2 linked regions of the Mus musculus genome follow. The protein of the gene in region 1 binds, or shares a complex with, the protein of each later gene. Links are inferred from orthologs where the notes say so. Each region holds a gene or a part of one and is shown in the gene's direction. Other genes may lie near its edges.

Region 1 (3,579 bases):
GACCCTGTCTCAAAGAAGACTTACCTTCATGACAGTGTGTGTGTGTGTGTGTGTGTGTGTGTGTATACACACCCCTTGCCTCTAAGAGTACCTGCCTTTTGGTCTTTTCATTTGTCACTTAGAATAGCAGTGCAGACACAGAGATACTTTGTTTCTCTCCGCCATACTTCCATAGCAGATGTAACAATTTGGGGGCTAGTGTAGGGAGGGGTAAAGCAGGCAGGCAGGCTGTCCCTTCAAGACACAGCTGACGAACACACCAGATGGGAAGTTGGCTCACTGGGGGCTTCTCATTCCAACTGCAATCTCCCAGAGCTAGAGACTGCTCAAAGGGTAGGAGTATTTACTATGCAAGCATGAGCTAGGTGTGGCCACACCACATGTGACTGTGACCTTAATACCATGTGTAGGGGGGTGGCACTAGAAGGAGAATTGTAGGGTGTTGCCTCCCAGACTAGCTCCAGGCTCAAGAGACTCTGTCTCAGCAGAAGGTGCAATATGGTGGATCAGGACACCAGCACCCTCCTTTGGCCTCTGCATGTGTGCACAGATGCACACATCTAAACACATACCAGGCCCACATACACCGTACCCCACCACCACACAAAGATGGACTCTCTCAATTTATAAACACTGGCAAATACCATAAAGCGTTTTAAAAGTTCCCCTAGTGACCACATTACCCACAATGCTACTGCTTAAAAGCTCTGACCTGGATTCTGGGAGTGTACAGATGCTTTGGGCAAGGAGTGGGAGCACCTGCCAGTGAGAGCACCTGCCAGTGGGAGCACACTCCATTGGGAGCACCCGCCAGTGGGAGCATCTGCCAGTGGGGTCCACTCAAGTCTGTTTCTCCAGGTTTAAAGTCCCGGATGCGAGCCCTGCTGGTCATTCCTGTCGTGATGGGCATCCTCATCACCATTTTCGGGGTGTTTCTCTATATCAGTGAGTGCTCAGGAGAGGAAAGGGAGGGAGGGTTCAGCCCTGTCGAACCAGCCTCCTGACTCACCCTCGCAATGTCCCACACCCCTTCTTCTTCTCACTAGAAAAGGTGGTCAAGAAACCAAAGGATAATGAGGTAAGCCATCCCTGAGGGAGAGATGCTGGAAAGAGTGACTGGTGGGCAGGGAGGGAGGCTCACGGCGTAGGGAGACAGACTCAGTAAGCAGAGAGCTTGTATTGGATCCTTGAGTGTGGACCCATGGAAAAGGCCCATTACACCCACGCTGGTGGGGGCGGGGAGAGGGGGGGAGGATGGACACAGGGATCTTAGGAGCTTGCTAGCCAACCATGGGCTACTCCAGGTTCCAAGAGAAACCCTGACTCGGAAAATAAGGGTTAAGAGTGCAAGAAGACACAAGATGTTGACCTCTAGCCTCTAATAATGTGTACATGGGTGTGTGGACCCTCTACGCCATGAGCATACACCCAATACCACGCCACACTCCGCGCGCGCACATGCGCGCACACACATGCCCAAACAGGTTTAGGGTCCGTTCCCTGGAACATATAGGTGGGCTACTCGCACCCCCACCCAGCCCTGCTCTCAGTCTCCATCGCTTCCTCCTACTCAACTACTTCCCCTTAGGGCAGAGCTGGGCACCACTGGCAGAGAAACTCTGGCTGTGCTTTCCTCCAGCCTTGAATGCTGGGGATGGGAGTCGGCGGCGGGGGGTGGGGGTGGGGGGTGGGGGTGGGTGGATCCCGCCTTCAGGGGCCAGTAGGTGGAACCAAAGGGGCAGTTTCTCCTGCTGGTCTGCAGTGGCTCTGGAAATTTCCTGCCAAATTTCATGTGTCCAGCAGGGGGCAGAAGGCATCCAAGAAATCAGTTTTGGTACACCCCCATCCTCCCACCCCATTGGAAAGGACTTGAAGGAGGGATTCTATTCCTCAGAGGCAGGGTGGCTCTGTGGCTAGAGGTGACATTGGACCTTATACCTTGACTCCCCAGATCTTACCCCCTGCGGCTCGACGGCAAGATCCCCAGGAGATGGAAGATTATCCCGGTCATAACACCGCTGCTCCAGTGCAGGAGACGCTGCACGGGTGTCAGCCTGTCACACAGGAGGATGGTAAAGAGAGTCGCATCTCAGTGCAGGAGCGGCAGGTGACAGACAGCATAGCCTTGAGGCCCCTGGTCTGAACCCTGGAACTGCTTTGGAGGCGATGGCTCGGCTCGGGAGCAGGGGCCTGGCTCTGAGGACTGCTTGCTGACCTTTGAAGTTTGAGATGAGCCAAGACAGAGCCCAGTGCAGCTAACTCTCATGCCTGCCCCCTATCATTTCTCAACTTGCTTTTTAAGGATGGAGGGAGAGCTCGGGCATCGGGGGTCCACAGTGATACCTACCAAGTGCAGCAGTGCAGGACCCAGAGTCGTCTTGCTGCGGCGTTCACTGTAAGGAGTCATGGACACAGGAGTCCGTGGCCCACAGCTTGTGCTGCTAGAGGGCACCTGGTTGCCCATCAGCAGGGTACTGGCTAAATAAATCTGTAATTATTTATACAATGACATCTCAGAAACTCTAGCAGGTGGGGCAGAAAACAGGTAGTAGAATGATGGGTAGAGAAATAGCTTTTAAAACACATTCCAAGGCAGGTAAGATGGCTTTTGTGAGTAAAGGAGCTTGCTGCCCAAACCCGGTTACCTGATTTTGATCCCTGGGACTTCATGGTAAAAGGGAGAGAACCAAATCCAGAGGGTTGTCATTTGACCTCCATGTGTGCTCTGTGGTAATGTACCCCGTGTGTGCACATGTGCACATATCCTAAAATGGATGTGGTGGTGTATTGTAGAAATTATTTAATCCCGCCCTGGGGTTTCTACCTGTGTGTTACCATTTAGTTCTTGAATAAAAGACACACTCAACCTTTATATTTACAATAAGCCTTAAACAGCACAAGAACTGGGCACCTGCCTACCCTGTATGCTATTTGAATCTACTTTCCTATTGATAACCCCCAGTTATTACTTACTACTTACTATGTTTCATCGGGGCTGCTCTTATCTCCTATTGGCCAGCCCCAGGTCCATGTTCTCTTAAACTCTCCTAATCCATGGTGGCTTCTCTTTCCTCCATTCACCTCTTCTCTCTCTTGGTTCTCTTCTAACGCCAAGCCCAGGAATACTAAGCCCCACCTATGTCTCTTCTGTCTAGCTATTGGCTGCTGGCATCTTTATTTACCAATCAGAAATAACTTGGGGTCACTTGGGGGGGTTGTCTACAGTACAGACTCCAGGTCTTGGGGCCACAAACCCATTACAATACAGAGCAAGATCAAACCTCAACAGTGGTGCATGCCTGTAACCCTAGCACTCAGGAGGAAGAGGACTAGGAGTTCAAGGCTAGCCTTGGATATATAGTTAACTCAAGGTCAGCCTGGGCTACATGATTGTCTTAGTTGGGGTTTTATTGCTGTAAACAGACACCATGAGCAAGGCAACTCTTAAAAGGACAACATTTAATTGGGGCTGGCTTACAGGTTCAGAGGTTCAGTCCATTATCCTCAAGGCAGGAACATGGCAGCATCCAGGCAGGCATGGTGCAGGAGGACCTGAGAGTTCTATATCTTCATCTGAAG
Region 2 (4,266 bases), on another chromosome or scaffold:
CAGGTTTGGGCCCAGGACAGGATGCTGAGGCGTGGGAGGAGAAGACAGCAGGTGCTAACTACACAGACAGCATCCCTAGCAGAGCAGTGTTTATATTTCCTATTTGTCTCTTGAAACAAGTTTGTAGGAATCACCAAAGCAATTTTACCAGTTTCTATACAGGAAGTTGGGATGTGGGAGAGAGATTTCCACAGCTGTATTAGTTTGAAGGTTATCTGATATGACATCACAATGGCCATTCATACATGTATACTTCCGAAAACAGTGTCACAACCTGAGGTGGTTTGGCCTCAGCTTAGTTTGTTCATCATATAAAGAGTTAGGAATCATTTGGAAAACTCATTTCATAGGGTATGAAAACTGTTAAAAAAAATAGGGATAACTATATATTGTGTGAGATGCCTCCAAAGTCTTTTTCCTTAGCATCTTTAGTCTGTCTTCTCCAAAACCTATGGGTTAGGCAAAGCCCTTTGTGTAGGGGAGAGTGAGAGGCAAAGTGACTTACTGGGAGTTCGTAGGAATTTATTAGTACAGCAAGGACTAGAATCCAGGTTTCTCAGCTGAAGCTCAGTTTTCATATCCTTAGCTACATATCAGTATAGTGGACTGTAACTGTGAAGACAGAGAATGTGGCCGAATTAGGCTAATCATTGCCTTTAGCTTCAGTCCCCAAGTTTCTGTCTGATTTCCCAAACACCGTAGCTAGCTTTGCTTTTCACCAACGTTTTTATTGGTTTGTTTTTTACATAAATTCTCTTTCTAGCTACATCTTATTTAATAAATGTGGAGCCCTTTTTTTGCTTTATGACATGTAGTTTTGACTAGTAAAGCTAGAAAGATTTTATTGAGCTTAGAGATTAAAGAATCAAAGTCCTGAGAAGCAATTAAGGGGCGGCACACTGGACATGAAATCAGTCCTTATATTTGCTAACATCTAGTCCTTTAACTTTATACCAGGTTCCAGATTTATGTTAGTAAGATTGAAATTGAAATAAGTTTATTACTAGTGGACTCATTTGTCACTTTCCTTGAAACTGGTGAACCCCAAACTTTAGAGAGCAATAGGAAAAATACTGCCATTGTCTTTTAAGAAGTCTGACATTTCAAGGCAAGAATGAATGTATGGAAGAAGAAACCCGTTTCTTCTTTACTAACAAAAGGGAAAGCCTGGAAGTGAATGATATGGGTGTGATTTAAAAAAAGAAAAGGAAAGAAAAGAAAAGAAAAACCCTTTACGTAACTTTTTTTGCTGGGACAGAAGACTACGAAGCACATTTTCCAGGAAGTGTGGGTTGCGACGATTGTGCGCTCTTAACTAATCCTGAGTAAGGCGGCCACTTTGACAGTCTTCTCATGCTGCCTCTGTCCCATTCTTGGTCAGAAGACACCATTTCAGCTTTCAGTCAGCATGATAGAAACATACAGCCAACCTTCCCCCAGATCCGTGGCAACTGGACTTCCAGCGAGCATGAAGATTTTTATGTATTTACTTACTGTTTTCCTTATCACCCAAATGATTGGATCTGTGCTTTTTGCTGTGTATCTTCATAGAAGATTGGATAAGGTAAGGTGACCTACAAGCCTTAATTAGCTAAATTGGGGGTTCTTATTGATCTAGGACGGTTTGAATTAAGTTCTACCTAAATGATGGAGAACAGTAGAAAGTGGATAATGTTTGTTGTGGCATAATGTTTGTTGCCTAGAAAGTAGAACCTTACCTCTGACTAAGATCTTGGAATGTGCAATCAGACAGCCTGGCTTCAAATCTTAGCTTAGCTCTTAACTGCTCTGAGATTCTGCACATGTCACTTCATATTTTCATTTCTTTTTCTGTCCCAGGGAAATAGAGGTAGACATAGTACCCATGGCACAGATCAAATGATTCTAGCCCTGAAGAGGAGATAAACTATGCCTGGCACATAGTACATGCTAGTTAGTTCCTAAAAGTTGCTCCCCAAAGTGAACTATTTCCCCCCACGAAGACAACTTTAAAAAAATGAGCCCCATGAAAACAACTTTAAAAGGTGAGCCAGAAAAAAAGGAACATTGATTTGATCTGAAATTCCATTGTGTTTTGGATGAGTACAGACATGAACTATGCTCCCAATCTGCCGATTGATTTTTAAAGTCAGAATGGTGCTATCTGTGCAACTCTTCAATGCCAACTGCCACTGTAAGCTGCTCTGTGCTCCGCGGAGGAGATTTTCCATGCTTAAATGATTAGGAAGGGAGCAGACTAGCTAAGAACAGTAACTTCAGGATCTACGCTGTTTCCATGTGCTGGCTCATATCCACTGAGGGCCATATGGGCTGTGTTATGAAATGCTAAGGGATAATGGGGAAGTTGTAACCCATATAGACTCAAATGTGCTGTCAAATTTAAGTGAACTTTAAATGACAGGCAAAGCTATTGGCAAACTCCACCTTATATTTTGTTTTGATTTTATTTGGTTAAGTTTGGATTTTTCCCCCCTTTTTGAGACAGTTTCATACTGTAGCTCAGAATGGTCTGGAACTCTCTAGATAGACGAAACTGGCTTCTAACTCACAGGAACACTCCTGCCTCATCCTACAAATATAGAGATTACACACATGTTCCACTATACTTGTATTGGTTCTTGTTTTGAAAGTTAAGAATTTGCCCTTAAGACAAGAAGAAATTGTTCAGAATTAGTTGACAACACAAGTTAATTGCATACATTTAATTACTCACATATAAAAAAGAAAATATTGCATTCACTTTGGGGATAAGAGATAATTTCTTTTAAAATGCAAAGCATTTCTACAAGTACAGAAGAAATGAGAGATGTAATTATAAATCCATGTTGTGAATGAATGCCGCTGTAATGCCTCGTGTCATGAACACTACCATGAAGCAGGCAAACTAGCTCGGCAGCAAACTACTTTATGGCTGGTGGGAAACATGACAATTATAGGACACTGCTGTTGTGGTACACTGAGATTAAAAGTCATTAGAATAGCTATGATTTCTATTGAGAGGCACAGAAAATATGCCATCGGAATCACCGGCTTTTTAGGCTGTTAAATGGCAAGTGCCAAACAGCAGTAATCCAGCATGATACCTTTTAATATTCCCCCATTTACACTGTCAAAGTCCCCCTCTCGTCGGTGCCATGGAAGTGGATGTGGAGGCAGACGTGATTAGCTGCATTCTTCTTCACTATGACATTTCTCACCAGTCTCCTATTTCAAAACAGGTCGAAGAGGAAGTAAACCTTCATGAAGATTTTGTATTCATAAAAAAGCTAAAGAGATGCAACAAAGGAGAAGGATCTTTATCCTTGCTGAACTGTGAGGAGATGAGAAGGCAATTTGAAGACCTTGTCAAGGTAAGGTGCTCAGCTCCTGGCAGATTTCACAGAGAAGTTTTCTTACATTTCCCAGTCCTGCAAACTGAATTCTGACCCTGGGAAGCTTTAACGTATAAGCAGGGATAGTGGGCACAGCTGCGATCTCAGCGCCTGAGAGGCCAAAGTCAAAGGACGACTGCTGTGGGTTCCAGGTCAGCTTGGTCTACAGAGTGAGACATGATCAAAATGTACTGTATATAAACATACTCGTACATATATATACATGTACACACATATGTGTAGGTGTGGAAATGTGTACATACAAAAAGAAAAGAAAAGACAAAGCCTTACAATAAAATGAAGAAGAGAGCTGAGTTGGCTATGTGCATACTACTGCAACAACAAAAAAGTTTTCATTCTTTTGTACAGATAATGTGTAATCCAATAATAGAGTAAAGAAGTCAGGATCTTACTTCATTTATAAATTCATGACACATATGGAAGTCACAGGACAGCTTTCGAGTCTTGCTTCTTTCCTTCCACTGTGTGAATCCTGCAGATTGAACTCACATCCTTAGGCTTAGCCTTTACCCACTGAGCCACTTCATTGTTCTCTTCAAACCTTATTTCAGAACTTAATATACATCCTCCTATTTGGTCAGCAAGGTATAATTTAACCTAGTGAAGAGGAAGATTCTAAAAACTTACTCCTAGGCCACTTACTGGGATCAGAATTCAGTTCAAATCTGCCTGACTTTATTTTAAGCTAGAATGTATTTTTTTTTAATTTTTCAAGACAATCTTGAGTAGCATAGGATGGTCCTCAGCTTGTAGAAGACTTGTATGTGGCTGAAGACCTGCTCTCCACATCCTTCTGCTTCTAACCTCAGGCATGCAGCACTATGTCCAGTTTAATCTAGATTTTATTGTTTTAGTTTTGTACAATGCTCAGTTG

Evidence for each region.
Region 2: the proteins of Cd40 (region 1) and Cd40lg are in contact, whole or in part, in a crystal structure (PDB 3QD6), measured with the Homo sapiens proteins. The link is inferred for Mus musculus from reciprocal best matches to the Homo sapiens genes CD40 and CD40LG. Residues at the interface, in NP_001241.1 of Homo sapiens: Glu64, Ser65, Glu66, His76, Cys77, Gln79, Tyr82, Asp84, Asn86, Leu87, Trp109, Cys119; in NP_000065.1 of Homo sapiens: Ile127, Glu129, Ala130, Lys143, Gly144, Tyr145, Tyr146, Cys178, Pro217, Cys218, Gln220, Ser245, Gln246, Ser248, His249, Gly250, Thr251, Gly252.

What each region holds. Positions count from the first base shown.
Region 1 is NC_000068.7:165,068,771-165,072,349, forward strand, and holds the end of Cd40 (tumor necrosis factor receptor superfamily member 5 isoform 1 precursor), read left to right. Parts: intron 1-858; coding exon 859-945; exon of another isoform or gene 946-1,046; coding exon 1,047-1,078; intron 1,079-1,951; coding exon 1,952-2,143; 3' UTR 2,144-2,188; coding exon of another isoform or gene 2,189-2,200; 3' UTR 2,201-2,884; downstream 2,885-3,579.
Region 2 is NC_000086.7:57,210,747-57,215,012, forward strand, and holds the start of Cd40lg (CD40 ligand), read left to right. Parts: upstream 1-1,396; 5' UTR 1,397-1,408; coding exon 1,409-1,564; intron 1,565-3,218; coding exon 3,219-3,350; intron 3,351-4,266. UniProt on the Homo sapiens protein: Cytokine that acts as a ligand to CD40/TNFRSF5. Costimulates T-cell proliferation and cytokine production.